Linked DNA regions of Ovis aries. The protein of the gene in region 1 interacts with the protein of each later gene in a pairwise test. Links are inferred from orthologs where the notes say so. Each region holds a gene or a part of one and is shown on either strand. Other genes may lie near its edges. The genes, in order: CCND3, CRABP2, EIF3K and VDR.

Evidence for each region.
Region 2: the proteins of CCND3 (region 1) and CRABP2 interact in binary tests that used the Homo sapiens proteins (3 or more experiments, as listed by UniProt). The link is inferred for Ovis aries from reciprocal best matches to the Homo sapiens genes CCND3 and CRABP2.
Region 3: the proteins of CCND3 (region 1) and EIF3K interact in a two-hybrid assay, tested with the Homo sapiens proteins (2 studies listed by BioGRID and IntAct). The link is inferred for Ovis aries from reciprocal best matches to the Homo sapiens genes CCND3 and EIF3K.
Region 4: the proteins of CCND3 (region 1) and VDR interact in a two-hybrid assay, tested with the Homo sapiens proteins (2 studies listed by BioGRID and IntAct). The link is inferred for Ovis aries from reciprocal best matches to the Homo sapiens genes CCND3 and VDR.

The regions. Positions count from the first base shown.
Region 1 is NC_056073.1:15,736,940-15,741,473, reverse strand, and holds the start of CCND3 (G1/S-specific cyclin-D3), read left to right. Parts: upstream 1-1,643; coding exon 1,644-1,841; intron 1,842-2,740; coding exon 2,741-2,956; intron 2,957-4,534. UniProt on the Homo sapiens protein: Regulatory component of the cyclin D3-CDK4 (DC) complex that phosphorylates and inhibits members of the retinoblastoma (RB) protein family including RB1 and regulates the cell-cycle during G(1)/S transition.
Region 2 is NC_056054.1:106,664,212-106,667,575, reverse strand, and holds the end of CRABP2 (cellular retinoic acid-binding protein 2), read left to right. Parts: intron 1-1,333; coding exon 1,334-1,512; intron 1,513-1,715; coding exon 1,716-1,961; 3' UTR 1,962-2,309; coding exon of another isoform or gene 2,310-2,360; 3' UTR 2,361-2,749; downstream 2,750-3,364. UniProt on the Homo sapiens protein: Transports retinoic acid to the nucleus. Regulates the access of retinoic acid to the nuclear retinoic acid receptors.
Region 3 is NC_056067.1:47,756,065-47,760,448, forward strand, and holds the start of EIF3K (eukaryotic translation initiation factor 3 subunit K), read left to right. Parts: upstream 1-1,534; 5' UTR 1,535-1,608; coding exon 1,609-1,667; intron 1,668-2,564; coding exon 2,565-2,663; intron 2,664-4,384. Other genes in the region: MAP4K1 (mitogen-activated protein kinase kinase kinase kinase 1), read right to left, coding at 1-16, 187-285. UniProt on the Homo sapiens protein: Component of the eukaryotic translation initiation factor 3 (eIF-3) complex, which is required for several steps in the initiation of protein synthesis.
Region 4 is NC_056056.1:138,708,998-138,712,731, forward strand, and holds part of VDR (vitamin D3 receptor), read left to right. Parts: intron 1-1,074; 5' UTR 1,075-1,076; coding exon 1,077-1,222; intron 1,223-3,734.

The DNA.
Region 1 (4,534 bases):
CAATGCGCCAACTCATTGGAAAAGGCCCTGATGCTGGGAAAGACTAAGGGCTGGAGGAGAAGGGGACAACAGAGGATGAGATGGTTGGATGGCATCACTGACTCAATGGACATGAGTTTGAGCAAGCTCTGGGAGATGGTGAAGGACAGGGAAGCCTGGCATGCTGCAGTCCATGGGGTCTCAAAGAGTTGGATATGACTTAGTGACTGAAGGACAACAATCTGGATGGTGAAACTGCCAGTACTTACTCTTTACTTTTTTGTGTGACATTGGTATTTTCTGTCTTCTACAATGCATTGAATATTTCCGTGATATGCAAACAGCAAAAAATTTATTGTATAAAAAAGAACAATTCACTGGGATAATGCTTAGCGCAGGACTGACCTCTTTCTATAGAGTGTCATTTCTCTAGTAATTAACTTCCTTAGTGTCTCACCTCCTTGGAGGACCCCAGGAAAGGCAGGGATCCCCATGGCCTCCTGCCATTTGGAGCATTACTGGAGGCTTGTGGTGTGTTTGCCTCCTGGTCACGCGGAATCCAGCTCTGGAAACGCTGCAAAGTCCCAAAGCTTGGGAGGTAAAAGTGGCGCCTGAAAGATTTTATACAATCTGAGCAAGAAACTCCTCTAGAAAGGAGGCAGTTTCTCCGCCCATCATTTCCTCAAACGGAAACTAAGGCCAACGTCAGGGTTTGTCCAAGGCCACACACCCAACTTAATGACAGACAAGGTGAGGCCTTGAATCCATGACCCTTCCGCCCTGTTGTAGTTCTCAAGCGTGCGGATTTAGGACTGTCTCTTCTCACACTTTAGTGTGTACAGGAATCACCAGGGATCTGGTTAAAGGCAGATTTTGATCCAGTAGGTCAGGGGATGGGCCTGAGGTTCTGCTTTTCTGACCCGCTCTCAGGCTGGTTCGGGGATCAGTTTAAGTAGCCACGGGGTAGAGCAGAGATTCTGGGGGCAGACCGTCGGCTTCCCAATCCTAGCTCTGCCGCAGACGAACTATTATTATAGTTACTGCTTCAGTTTCCTCAACTGCAAAATCAGTATAAGACCTAACCCACAGCTTCTTCATTAAGATTTTAATAAGTGCTCAGACCAGTCTCCCCTAAGATCTAGCTATTTTATTATTATTTACTTTTCCTAGAGCAAGCAGCGGGTGAAGTAGAGTTTGACGAATGAATGAATAACCTTTCGGGGCGCCTGGAGTCGGGAGATGCAAAAATGGAAGGGCTCGGAGGTGGGGGCGGGGGGCGAGGAGAGGCCCACCTCCAAAGCACACTCCTCTAGCACCGGGTGGTCAAAAGGATCCGGAGCGCCCGGAAGCCGGCGGCCCGCGCCCAGCCGACCAATGCGGTCGCCCGGGGGAGGGGGAGCGCCCGCCAGCCCTTTCCGTCCGGGCGCCGGAGGCCCCGCCCCCGGAGCGTCGCGACGTCTGAGCATTCCACGGTTGCTACTCGGTCTCGAGGGGCGGGGCGCCTGTCAGGGAAGCGGCGCGCGCGCGGCGGCGGGGGCGGGCTGAGGCTCGGCCGCGCAGTGCCAGCGACAGCGCCACAGTCCCGCGCCCCGCGCTCTCCGGCCCGCCGCCTGCGTTCTGGCTCCCGAGCCCGCACTCCCGCCCTGCCCGCGCGCTGCCCGAGGATGGAGCTGCTGTGCTGCGAGGGCACTCGGCACGCGCCCCGGGCCGGGCCGGACCCGCGGCTGCTAGGGGACCAGCGTGTCCTGCAGAGCTTGCTCCGCCTGGAGGAGCGCTACGTGCCCCGCGCCTCTTACTTCCAGTGTGTGCAGAGGGAGATCAAGCCGCACATGCGGAAGATGCTGGCGTACTGGATGCTGGAGGTACCGCCTGGGCGGGTCTCCCCTCCCCCGTCACCCCCGCGTCCCGGGCTCCGGACATCCCGGGGCCGCCCTGTCGGGACATCCTGGTCCTCAGCAACAATCAGCAAGATGTTTCTGTGGCGCAGATCCCCGGGGCCTGGACTTTTCACTCGCGCGCCCTTAGCCGGCTGCCTCGGTGCTGTCTTTTTCTTGCCCTTCTCTGACCCTGACCGCCAGGCATTTGGCACCCCCAAATAACCCTGTCTTCGGGCGGGGAAAGCGGGGCGAGGGCCACCCTCTCCCCTCTGACTTCTCTCAAAAGCCTCCCCCCGCCCCCACCGCACGCCCGGTCTTCTCTGGAGAGCGCGCCTGGAAAACCCTGGGCTCGGCCGCCCCCGCCGCAGAGCTGGTTCCTTGTGTGTGTCGCGGGGGTTCTGGCGGGGAAGCCGGTGGGGGTGGCGCGCTGTTCCGGCCGTCAGGGAAATGGAAAGTGCGGGAGGCAGCCGCTGGAGTCTCCTCCCTTCCTTTTGGGTGTGTGCACTGGGTGGCAGTAATGGGGGTAAGGTCCCAGTTCTCTGGCTTCTATGGGTGACTCTTCCGAACCCCTCTCCCTTGGTACGGGGGGTGCAGATCAGCCTCAGTTTGGATTCCTGAAGGAAGGGAGCCTCTGGCGTATCCCGCTCCGCCCCCCCCCCCCACTCCCACCCCCGGGGAAAGGAGGCACCGCAGAGGAAGTGGGAGGGTGTCACCTTGGGGAAGGCGCATCCTGCGTGTTAGTCCTTGTCACTGTGAGTACACCTACCCCCTCCCGTGTCTTGCTCCCCATTCCACTTCCCTTCAGCGCACCGCACCCCTCGCCTTTAGTTGCTGCTGCGTTTCCTAAGCCTCTGCCCCCGAAGTGACTGTGCGCCCTCCCCCAGGTGTGTGAGGAGCAGCGCTGTGAAGAGGAAGTCTTCCCCCTGGCCATGAACTACCTGGATCGCTACCTGTCCTGCGTCCCCACCCGAAAGGCGCAGTTGCAGCTCCTGGGTGCGGTCTGCATGCTGCTGGCCTCCAAGCTGCGCGAGACAACGCCCCTGACCATCGAGAAGCTGTGCATCTACACCGACCATTCTGTCTCCCCGCGCCAGCTGCGGGTGCGTGCATACCCTCCCCACCTGCCAGCACCCCCTGCCTCCTTCCTAACGTACCAGGATGGGGGAAGCTGAGACCTCGGGAGGCTTTCTGCCCCTGTGCAGGGTAGCAGCTTTTTTTCTTTTTCTTTTGACAAAAGATGGGACAGTGTGGTGTGATGGTCAGGGTGGCCCCAGTTCAGGCTTGCACTCCCAGCATGAACCAGATCCCCTGTCTTGACCTCCAGGGGGTGCCACTCCTTCATGGTCTTTCCCCCAGATAGCAACAAGTCAAACTGCATGTCTACACTCACCAGAACTTTGCCTCTGGGTTTACACAGCCACCAGGAGTTATTTATTGGCAGCAGCAGGGCATGCCTGTGCACCCCCACTGGAGTGGGGGAGTGGAACGTGCTTCACGTGGGGGAAGGGGCCGCCCGGGTTGAATCTTGTCTCCCAGTGTGTGGACTTTGTGATCAAAAAGTCTCCCAGAGCTGATTAAAGCCAGGCCCCAGCTGCTGTAAGGAAGGGCCGAGGAGTTCCATCCCACTTTGCTTCCTTCCTTCCTTTTATATCCCAGGAGAACCAGCTCCTTCCCTCATTCTCCATTCCCTAGTCTCACCCTGAGAAATTGCTCTCAGAAGCAGCTGCTTCAGGCCTGGTGGAATCATCTTTTCCCCTTTAGCCAAAGGCAAGTGCTGAGGCACAGACTGGGGCTGAACTGCAGCTGCTTCCGATGTGATAATGATGCCCTCTCCCCTGGCCCACCCACCCTGACCAAGGTCTTTCATAACCCTGTGGGGAGCTGCTGTCACTCCTGTGGTTTGGGAAGTGGCTCCCTGGGCCTCTTGCTGGGAACTTGGGCTGGGCTCTTCCCGAGGCAGGGCAGGGGAGTCATGGTTCTCTTTCCCCATTGAGCCTGGAGAGGAGGTGGGGAGTTGCTTGGATTTGGAAGAGGTTATTTGGGAGCGTGCAGATCATCTCTCGGGGGACCCAGGGGAGAGGGGTGAGCTGGCACCTTCCTCCATCTTGCTCTACAGCAGTCGAGTCTTCTCTTGACCCGAGAGGCGTCTCTGGGCCCCATCTCCCGGGGAGGAGGGCAGCGTGCTGGCTGCTGTGATTGGCTGGCCAGGAAAGCCAGGGTACTGGGGCCCCTGAGTGCTGCTTGTCGGGGAACGGGATTCCTCTTCCTGCCAAGTAGCTCTCGGATATGGGAGTAGGAGGCCAGAGCTGGGAATCTGGGAGGCTCCACAGCTCTTTGTGATGAATCTGGTAGTTTGGGGCAAGTCTGAAGGTGGAGCTGGTTTCCAGGGCTAGAGAGCAAGATGTTTCTGAAGGAGTTTGGGCTGGTGGAAGGGGACTTCATTTTTGTGAAAAGATGAGCATGGGATGTGTGCCTTTATGTGAGGGCAGTTTTTCAGAACAGGCCAAAAGTCCTCTCCTCCCACTCCCCCTGCCTGAGCTGGGGGTGGAGCGTGCCGATCGATGACTTCCTAGAAGGTCAGAGTTGGAAGGGACATCAGAGAGCTCCGGTCAGTCCAAATAATCCTTGTGCCGCAAAGAAGGTGGGGGCCCAGAGGAGGAAGGAAGGGTCCTGGCTTG
Region 2 (3,364 bases), on another chromosome or scaffold:
CCCGGCCTGCTTGACTTCCTGGCAGAGGGCTGCTGTCTCCGGCTACCCCATTCCTTTTAAATAAGTAGGGAGAGGAGAGAAGGGGTCCAGTCTGGGAAAGGACAGGGGGACAGGCACAGGGGCTCAGCTGAATGAGAAGATCTGGGCCCTGAAGTAGGGTGGGTGATCCTGGAGTCGGGGTACATCACGGGAGGGGAGGGGAGTGTCCCTTTCTGTCCCTTGAGGGGAGAGGGACGTAGATGTCTTCCAGGAGGGCAGGTGAACAGGAAGGAGTCTGATGCATGGAACTTTGAGCCCCAACTCTGGCTTTTTCTTTGCCATCCTTTAATCAGTAAAAACAACAACAATAAGAGTAGCTGCTGCTGCTGCTGCTGCTAAGTCACGTCAGTCATGTCTGACTCTGTGTGACCCCATAGACAGCACCCAACAGGCTCCTCTGTCCCTAGGATTCTCCAGGCAAGAACACTAGAGTGGGTTGCCATTTCCTTTGAAAACTTACAGATGTGCCTGGCACTGTGTGTGCTCCAGCCTAAACACACATTGTCCCATTTGATGGGCTCTTGAATAAGCTGTTGTCTCCATTTTACAACTGAGAAATCTAAGCCTTAGAGAGGTTAAGCCATTAGCCCAGGGTCACCCAGCCTGAAGGGAGGGTGAGCCAGGTGGAAATCATGGCCTAATGGATCTTATTTCACAGCCTGTGGTTTCCCCAGGCTACAGACCATTCTGTAGGGGGACACAGCTGCCACACCCCCTCCCCTGTTGAGAATCCCTGTTCCTTCTCATTCTGGAGGGACAGAGACTCAGCAAATCAAGGCCACCAGACAGGGGAGGTGAGTAGGCACAGAGGGAAGTGGCCCCTACTTCAGGACATGAGTAGTGAGGGCTGGCTGAGGAGGGTCTGCCCTGCAGATGAGTCGGGGTGTGGACACAGTGATTCTGATGAGCCCACCCCAGCAGATGGTCTCAAGCAAGGTGGACAAAGGACCTAAAGTGAGGTGACTGGAGCCAAAGGGAGCTGTAGCAGGCTGAAGGGACCGGGGAGAACTGACTGCAAAGCTGAGACTTGGGGATCCCAATCCAGGGCTGCTGACTCATCCAGGTGGAAGCTAGAAGCAGAAATCCCAAGGGAGGGCACTGCCTCTCTGCCCCTCCTTGCTGAACCCACCAGCCATCAGGGCTGCACCACCTGCCCTCCCTTCAAGGCGCTTTTCGGACACCCAGGAAGCCTCCCTCTCTTCCCAGTCGACTCATGATCCAGCTTGCTCCTGCTGTCTCTTGGGGAGGGTGTGAGGCAGGTACCTGGACCGTCCATCCTCTCCCCTCCCTGCAGGGGTGAATGTGATGCTGAGAAAGATCGCCGTGGCTGCAGCATCCAAGCCAGCAGTGGAGATCAAACAGGAGGGGGACACTTTCTACATCAAAACCTCCACCACCGTGCGTACCACAGAGATCAACTTCAAGGTCGGAGAGGAGTTTGAAGAGCAGACTGTGGACGGGAGGCCCTGTAAGGTGCGTGCAGGGATGGGGTCCCCAGGGTCGTGGGATCCCTTGCCAGTGGATCTTTTCCCATCTTCCCCTCGAGTCTCTCCTCCATTTCCAGTGGGGAGAGTCCCTAGGTAGTGTTGGTGGGTAGAAAGGTGGCGCTTCCTCTGTCCCTCTCACAGCCTTGTCCCGGCTGTGGGCCCAACTCACCTGGCCACTCTCTCGTACAGAGCCTGGTGAAATGGGAGAGTGAGAACAAAATGGTCTGCGAGCAGAGGCTGTTGAAGGGAGAGGGTCCCAAGACCTCCTGGACCAGAGAACTGACCAACGATGGAGAGCTGATCCTGGTAAGGCTTTTTCCTGCTTTTCTCCAAGCTCAGACAGAGCAAGCCCAGTGCTACCTTCAGAGATTTTCCAGGACATTCCACAGTACAGGAAATTTAAGAACAACGGTGGCTGGTCTCTCTGTCTCCTGATGGAGCTGCTGGGGCAGAACTAGGTTGTCTGTGTTCCAGGTAGTACCCTTGTGCAAACGCAAAAGGGTGTCCCTTCCACGTGGAGCAAAGGGCTTGCTCTGAAAGGCCGCAGCAGATCTCTGGAGGGGGTGGAGGGGGGATCTTCCTGGCTTGGGGAGGGAGATGTAGAATGGACCCTGGGCCTCTATTGTCCTCCATCACATGATGCCCAGGCATTTTGTGAACCATCCTGAGCCAAGAAGTAGGTTTGGACCTGGAGGCCAAGCAGAGTATTTCCATGCAACCTTCCTGCTCCCAAGCACAGGAACCAGGGGCCTCCCAGGCTAACAATGACTTCTCTCCCTTCAGACCATGACGGCGGATGACATCGTGTGCACCAGGGTCTATGTCCGAGAGTAAGCGGCTGCACCCCCAGAGCCGCCGCCGGCCCATGCTCCCTGCCTCCTGCCCCACCCCTTCATCTAGGCTAGCTCTCCCCTCACCCCAGTCACTTCTGGGGGTTCTGGGTTGCCTTCTGCAGGGGCTCTCCTTTTATTGACCCCTCCTCTCCTCCCATATATCAACACGATGGATGGAACCCAGATCACCGATTCCAGGATCACTCCCCCCACCCCCGCCCTAGTCCTAGCCCCAAACCAGCCCATAGCACCCTCTCTCTCCTTTTCTGCAAGGGGACCCGAGGGCCTAAGTAGGAAAGACCGGCCCTCTGTCTTCCACTCTGTCCCTGTAGCCCATACAGTGTAGAATATTTATTGGTTAATTTTATTAAAATGTTTTAGGAAATAAAACCTGTCTCTGGCTCACTGGGAAGGGGCTGGGTAAGTCGCCTGAGTCCAACTTCGCCTTTGAAAGGCAGTGTGAGAGAGTCTGATGTTTCAGCAGCATAGGTGCACAGTTCACAAGGGGGAGGGAACCAGCTGGCCTCCACCCTCCTCATCACCATCCCTTCCTTTGCTGCAGAATCCATGACCATCACCTTCACTCCCCCTCCTCCAGCCTCCTTTGTCCCCAGCTCTGGCTTCCAAAGTAACTAAGGCTTCATCCTCTGACTCTCAGCAGGTGCTGAGGAACTGACTCCCACCTTCTCCTGCGATGGTGACATGGCTCCCTCCTCCTCCTCCAACTGTTCCTTCTCTCTCTTCCAACCCCAATCTGTGGGCAACCCCAGGCCTGGCCTTGGCCTCCCACATGGCTCCAGATGACTCATCACCGCCCACAGGATGGCCTTGCTCTTGCCCATGTCTCTTTGTGTCTGAGACAAGCCTATCTCTGCCTTGAGATCTCTCACTCTGCCCCGTCTGCCCCGTCTCTTGGATCTTCCAGGCCCCTTAGGTCCTCCTCCCCCGCACCTCCCTGAGCCTCCACACTCAGTTCTGTGTCTTCCCAAATTCCATCAGAGTCTC
Region 3 (4,384 bases), on another chromosome or scaffold:
TCCCCTTCTCTCGAGCCTTGTAAAGGGGAAGTTGGCAGTCAGGCAGGCTCCATTTGCCCGAGGTCTTCCTCAGCATCCCTGAAGCCAAGCTGAGGACTGGGACCCTCTCACATCCCCATCCCTTCTTGGGGCTCACCCCCAAGGTCACAGGTTTGAGAGTGTTGGAGAAGGAGGGGGGTTCCTCACCTTGAAAACTTCCCCATAGGTGCCGCCACCCAGCCGCTGCAGCAGGTCATAGTGGTCCCGGGGGTCCCTGTTAAAGATGTCAGGGTCTACGAGGTCCATTCCTGGGGGCCGGAGCTGGGCCTGCGCCCAGGGGCCAGCAGGGCCTCAGGGCTCCGAATGCTGGCACCTCCCTCCCTCCCCACACGCCCTGCACCCGCCTTGCCTCCACCGGCTGTGGCCTCCCCCCTCCCCACTCTCGCTTCCTGCCCCGGCACAGAGCTGTGCAGCCAGCGGCTCCACCCCCTGTCCCCTGGGCCCTGACAGCCTGTGAGGGGCAGCTTGCCTTGGGACCCAGGGGACTCCCCCCTCCACCTCCGGGGCCCTGGGCTGCATGTAAACCAGATGCAAACTATCTTCATTGTGACCTGGAGGGTGCCCTCACCCTCCCCCGTTATGGGCAGTGGCTAAAAACATTTGAACCTCTGCTGAACGCTGAGTGTTGGGCCACAACCTGGAGATGGCAGGTCTACACCGGGATGACCATGTAGTGTATGTACATCATTGTTCACCCGGGACACATACAGGCACTTAGTGGTAACTCCCCGTGCGGCGCGCAGGCCAGTCGCCGTGCACACTCCTGGATACCCGTGTGCACGTATGTGGATATACCCAGAGCATATACACATATGACACATGCATGTTCAGTCATGCTTGCAGTGGGCAGTATCTGAACACACAACTAGGGATGCCACATGCGGAGCGCTCGCCTTCACCCACAGAACTGGAGCTATGGGGACTGGGCGTGATCTAGCGGGGTCCACGAGCCCCTCTCTCCGCCCCTGCCGAGCTGAGCACAACAGCTTTGCGGGCCACTACCCTCGGCGTTAGGGTGAAGTGTGGGGGACCAGGTTCACGACTTAAAACTGCGAAGCTCAGGATCCTTCCTCAGAGGCCAAGGGGACCTCAGAGGGCACCTTCTTCGGCACATGCCCATGGACCAAAAGGATTGTACTGATGGAACCCCAGCAGTTTTGAGTTCACAGCCCGTGCACGCCGTCACGGATCAGTCTACTTCCCGCTAAGTCCGCGCTCACGCGCCAGGGTCTATAACTGGATACGCGAGGCCCGGGAAAAGCTTAGTCCCGCCCCCTCGCCGCGAGAAGGCGCCTGCGCACTTGGTTAGACTAGGTCTTTTCTCGCGCCGTAGCTTCTGCTCGAGTAGAGCGTATGCGCACGCGCTAACTGCGCCGGCTGGGAAGAAGTCACGCGGCAGCCGGAAAGCGTGGCAGCCGCAGCTAGACCCAAAGCACGATTCACCGCGGGGCTGGAGAGAAAACAATTACGTAGTTTCCGTTTCCACCAACTCTTCCTCTTCCGGTCCTCGAGGACGCTTTGCCGGCAGGGTCTTCGGCCTTAGGCCTGGTGTGGGAGGCGGCAGCAGTCATGGCGATGTTTGAGCAGATGAGAGCGAACGTGGGCAAGTTGCTCAAGGGGATCGACAGGTCTGAGCCCGGTCGGAGGGAGCGTTTCTGGCCAGCGTGGAGGAGAGGGTTTTCTGGGGTCAGCAAGAGGTGGTCAGCATCCTGGGCTTGCCCAGGGGTGGGATTTTTCAGTCAGTCTGGAGCAGTTGTTTAAGAAAACAGCATTGTATAGGCCTAAAGGCAAGAGGTGGCCTTGCCTGCCGCTCAGTCCGCTTTAATTGCCTTAAGGCCGCCCTCTCTGCTTAACTTATTCTCTCTCAGCCCCTCTGTTTTCTCTCTGCTCCTCAGTCTCACTGAGCCTCTCAGTGCCTCTTCGTGGCTCCCCTTCCCCCCCTAATTTCATTCATCGAACACATGTTTACTGAAATCTACACTGTGAATTCTGGGCAATGGTGCGGACCAGAGATAACCAAAGACAGCCACTGGCCATGCTTTCATGGAGTTTCTAGTTCAGATAAACCGGACGGTAGACAGTGATAGCCAGGAGTGGTCAAGGTGGTGATGGGGGAAACATAGGTAGATTGGTGGGGGCTAGGATGGGGAAAACTAGGCAGGAGAGAATGGGCTGCACCAGAGTGGGGTTTGGGGATGGGAGAAAGGGGTGGATATCAAAGATGTCCAGGAGGGCAGATGTACAGGCTGCAAGGGCTGGTTGGCTGAGAGATTGAAAAGACATTTTTCAGAAAAGACCCAGGGCTCTGATGGGGTTTAGAGCTGGGGCTTAGGTCAGGGATATGGATAAGTTTCATCAGAGATTATAGAGCTGATTCAATATTTGAGTAGAGCAAGTGGCCAGTGACGGAGGGAGGGAGGAAAGGAAGAGAAGGAGGAGCAGGCTACAGTCGCCCCCACTCCTACCCCATGGGAGTGACTGGCCTCAGCTCTTGTCTCTGCTCACTCATCTTGTTTCTCCTCTAGGTACAACCCTGAGAACCTGGCCACCCTGGAGCGCTATGTGGAGACACAGGCCAAGGAAAATGCCTATGATCTGGAAGCCAACCTGGCTGTCCTGAAACTGTGAGTATCTGCCTCCATTCCCACCCGGTTCCCATAGTCAGCAGCCTGCCACTCCCAGCACTGGGTGGGGTGGGAGTGAGGGGTAACCTCCAGGATGTGACTTCTCTCTCTTTTTTAAAAATTGGAATCTAGTTGATTTACAATGTTATATTAGTTTTAGATGTACAACATAGTGTTTGGGTATTTTTATAGGTTATACTCCGTTTAGAGTTCTTATATAATGGGGGTCATAGCCCCTGTGCTGTTCATTGTGACTTTGTATCTTATTTCATATATATTTCGTACCCCTTAATCCCCTTCCATTATCTCACCTCTCCCCCACCCCATTCCCATCTATAACCACTAGTTTGCTTCTCTGTTTCTGTTTTGTTGCTTTCATTTTATTCTTTAGATTCTACATATAAGCGAAAACATGTGGTATTTGCCTTTCCCTGTCTGACTTAACTTCACTAAGCGTAATATTCTCCAGGTCCATCCATGTTGTTGAAAGGGCAAATTTTCATTCTTTTTCCTTTTTTTTTTTTTAATGGCTGAATAATATTCCATTGTGTGTATGTGTTTCTATGTACCACATCTTCTTTATCCATTCATTTGTCAGTGGACACTTAGGTTGCTTCCAGATCTTGGCTACTGAAAATAATGCTCCTGAGAACACTGGGGTGCCTGTATCACTTCAAATTAGTGTTTGTTTTCTTTACTTATATTTATATACACACACATACCCAGGAGTGGAATTGCTGGATCATGTGGTAGTCCTAGATTTGATTTTACAGGGAACCTCCCTACTGTTTTCCACGGTGGCTGTGCCAATTGACATGACACTATCAAGCGTTCTCTCCTCCACATCCTTGCCGGTGTTTTGTTATTTGTTGTCTTCTTGTTGATAGCCATTTTGTCAAGTGTGTGATTCTGATTTGCATTTTCCTGATGTTTAGTGATGTTGAGCATCTTCTCAATTGCCTGTTGGCGATCTCTGTCTTCTTTTAAAAAAAAAGCGTCTATTCAGAAGTTTCTGACAGGGTTTTGCGGGATTTTTGGTATTGAATTGTATGACCTCTTTATCTGTTTTGGATAGAATGTGCAAGACTAGGGAGCCAGGAAGTAGGGGCAGGAGGAGGGATGGTTTTTGAAAACTTAGTTACAGGGGCTGCACTCCAGCAGTTAAGATTCCAGCCTTCCACTGCAGGGGACACGAGTTAGATCCCTGGCTGGGGAACTAAGCTCCCGCAGGCCTTGCTGTGCAACCAAAAAGTAAAAAAAAAAATAAATAAAAATCATAACAAAGCGCACATACAGGCTGCTGCAGAAAGCAAGTATATGGTTTAACGTGGAGTTATAAATGGACACCTATGTAATCAGCAGCCCAACTGCAAAATGGGTGTTGCTAGCACCCTGTCCTTTGCCCCATGTGTTTTGTGCCAACCACGCTGACCTGATGACCCTGGTGACCACTCCTGTGCTCTCGTGGCCTGGCTTTGTGTGAATTTACCACACGCTTGCAGGCGCATGTACACACATACACATCCTGATTCGCTTAGCGCAGGTTTGCCTGCTTTGAACTGAACATAAGAGTAGCTGCACGACTGGAGCTCTTCTGCGTCTGGCAGCTTGCACTCAGCCCTGGGTTTGTGAGCTCCACGCTTCTCCTGTGTGGCCGCAGTTGGTTGTCATTGCTGTGCAGTGTTCCATGTGGAGCCAGGTCCTAATTATCTGTTATCCTG
Region 4 (3,734 bases), on another chromosome or scaffold:
TCACTTGATTTCCTTCTGCCCTGAGGCCAAGGCACTTAAACCTGTAGTGACCCTTGTGAGGACTCAGATAAAACTGGGAGGCAGCCCCATCTGAAACCTTTCACCAGTCAGGAGGGACCCCAGACATAGCCCTGAGCTAGTAGCCGGCAGGATTGCAGGCGGCAGGTGAAGCTGAGGTCCTGACTTGCCCAAGGGAAGGCTCGTCAGCTGCTTCCTGAGAAGACTCTCCCAGAGCTATTATATTTTGTCCTCTCTGTCTCTTTTCCCTCCTTCTTCAAGTGTGAAATCTATCTCTAGATGATAATGCCTATTTATAAAAGCAGCCTCTGAAAACAAAATTAATTCCTATACGACTCACATTACTCAGAAGGATGTTCAGAACAATGCGTTGAATTTACATTGAAGGGAGAAGGGGGAGGGGGAAAGCTTTGATAACCTGGATACCAGGACAGCAAGGACACCAGGCTGTCCGTCCTGAGCTGTGGGGCTGCTTGGAGCTGGCATGACAGGGTCTGCTATGGGCAGGTAACCTGTCCTCTTCCCCTCACCCTGAAGGATAGAGGGGCTGAAGGTGTCCCTCTGTGTACAAGGCTGTTGGAGGCCCCCTTCCCTTTTGGAGGGGACCCTGGGCAAAGAGGCCTCTGACCTGCAGCAGGTCCACTGCTGAGGTGCAGCTGAGGCCAGTGATGTGGGTATCATTCACAAGAACCTTCCTCACACCCAGTGAAGTAAACACACTCTTCAGATGAGGACAGTGGGACGCAGAGAGGCAGGAGCCCTCACCCAAAGGAGTCCAGCCCGTAGGCACCAGCCTCTGGTTCTCCGGGCTTTGACGCCAGGCCACGCCATGAGCATCGCCACAGCGCCCCCTGCAGACGTGCTCCAGCCTGTCTGGGGAGACCCGCTTCTGCTTGTGGCCGGCAGCCTCAGGAGGGTGAGCTGGTGGCACCCGGAACCACAAAGCGAGGGCGCCAAGGATCCCACTGAGGCCTGGGCCCTGGGGACAGCTCGACTTTGCTGAGCTCCTGGCAGAAGGGCTGCCAGCGGCCTCATCCCCGCCTGCTGTTCTTGCAGCCATGGAGGCGACTGCGGCCAGCACTTCCTTACCTGACCCCGGCGACTTTGACCGGAACGTGCCCCGGATCTGCGGGGTGTGCGGGGACCGAGCCACCGGCTTCCATTTCAACGCTATGACCTGCGAAGGTTGCAAAGGCTTCTTCAGGTGAGTGCCCTGCAAGAGCGAGGAGTAGCGGGTGAGGAACAGAGTTTCCCGCAAAGAGACCCTGCGTGTTCTGTGTCTCCTTCCTCACCAGGCCCAGAAACACTCCCGTTCTCACAGCCACCCGGGCCAACAGGGTCTGTTTCTTCCTCCTCTGCCCTCAGCTCCAGCTTGTCCTCTGGCCCAACTGCTTCCTGGGTGGAAGCAGTTCATGTGAACCCCCATCCGTCCATCACCCCTTGACATACAGCCCCCTGCACCCACCCATGTCCTTCCAGAGTGAACCTCCTACCATTGATGATCAGAGCTTCCTAGTCCAGGAGACTGGCATGGCCTCCAGGAAGCCCAAGAACTTGGCCTCAGAGCACGCACCCCCACCCTCTCCCCTCCTGCCACCATCCAAACCAAACCATCCCCTGGAACAAGGGAAATGACATCCCTAGTTGGACCTCCATACTTGATCTGTGCACCACGACTTGCTTATCAAAGTTGGAAAGCTAACCTCAGAGTGTGCAGGAAAGCACACGCATTCTGGTTTGGTCAGGGCTAGTTTTTCTGCGAGCAGCCTCTTCTCTTTTCATGTAGGCCCAGCATTACCAGTGCAGACTGTATGGGAAAGTCCTGGAAAAGCTGGACAAAGGCTATTCCCATCTGGAGCCAGGGAGGGAGGAGAGAGAAGTGAGGAATGGCAGGGTGGGATTCAAAACCAGGAGAAGTTAGCATTTTGCATATTTTGGAGAGAGAAACAGAATGGAGCCTGGAAGAAGGCAGCCAAAAATGAGCTTCTATGTAATAGTCTTGCTGAGGGTGAGTAAAGCTAATGGCAGGGCTTTCCATCAAAGAGAGGAAAGAGCGAATCAAGTCCAGAACAAGGAATCCATTTCCCTGAACTGGCACTGAGGGCAGCGTGAATCAGAGTTAGAATCCTAACTCACCTGCCCTCTGCGGCAGAAACTGGCAGGCCTGGAGTTTGATTGCCTTGAGCCACCGTGCCGAGGCCCCTTTGAGTCTGAGCTGACTGACGGCCACTACTCCCTCCTGCAAGGTCTGGTGTTATGGTCAGCAAGCTGCTTTTATCTTGCTTCCCTGTCCTCCATCTACCTTATAACTTTACTGCCTCTGCCTTGATGACAGCCCAGGCTGCACTTTTTGAAGAGCCAACATCTCTCCCATTGTTTGGCTTGAATTCTGTTTTATAAATATGCACAGTTGATCCTCATTGTTTGTGGAGTCCACATCTGCAAATCTGACGACCTGGTAAGCTTTACTTGTCATCCCCAGATCAATACTTGCAGCTCTGGTGTTTCTGGACACGTGCAGAGTGGAGAAAAATTCTGTCTCTCATTGTACACGTTCCCAGCCAAGGCTGAGCCAGACATTCTGCCTTCTGTTTCAATTCTCACACTATGAACAAGTGTCCTGTTCTTGGTATATTTAGTGCCATCCTTTTTGCACCTTTGTACCATTTGATAGTGATTTCACTGTGTAAGGTGGCACCCAAGCATGGTGCTGAAATTCTTTCAGGTTCTCCTAAGCATGTGAAAGCTGAAAGGCGCCTTACAGAGAAAAGACATGTTAGACAAGCTTTGTTTAGACACAGGCTTTTTAGCTGTTGGCTATGAGTTCAATGTTAATGAGTCAACAACATGTGTTAAATAAGGTGCGTTTAAATAGATGCCTCACATGAAACAAAGTTATTTACTGATGGACTGATGAAAGCATTGTGACCGGAGGCTCACAGGAACCTAATCCAAATTCTCCTAGGAGCGATGATTCAATATTTGCTGATTCGGCATTCATGATGGCTTTATGAATGTAACTACCACAAAGAACAAGAATAGACTGTCTGCATATAATTTCTCCTCCTCTCTCCCCTCCACATACTTCTCCTCCTTTGCTTCATCCATATACTATTTGATAATCTTCTTCTTTAGTCTATTTCAAATAGCTGTTTGAGAATTCCATTGTCAGTTGTATCTGTCTGCAGAATCCTCATCCTGGGTAGGAAGGCCTCTGTCAGAAGGAGGTCCTTCTCTGCGTTGGGTACCGCATCCTTGAGAACACAAAGATAGCACAAGCCCTTGCTCTCCAGAAGCTCTCTCAGCCCTGCAAGAGCAGTTCTCAAGGAAAAAGCATTACCTTAGGGTTGAGCCACTGACTATATTCTAACCCCTGGGATATAAGCCCCTTTGACCATTTAGTGTTTGATTGACTTCTTAATCAAACTAAATTGCTCTAGAAGTGAGTTGTGATCATTTCAGCAAGTCTAAGACTCATAATCAAATCAAAGTGTGATTATGGGGGTTGGTTGGTTCTATTGACCTATGGTCAAGAATTAGAGACTATTGCCAGCCAGTCACTCCTGCAAGCCATTTCATACTGTTTCTACTCCCTGCTCCTCTGGAATACATGCAGTCCATAGAGAAAGATGCTATTTCCAGTGAGAATGAAAGGTTGGCATGCACAGGCTTCTAGAAGATTATATGTCTTGGTAGTATGTTAACCTAATATGTTA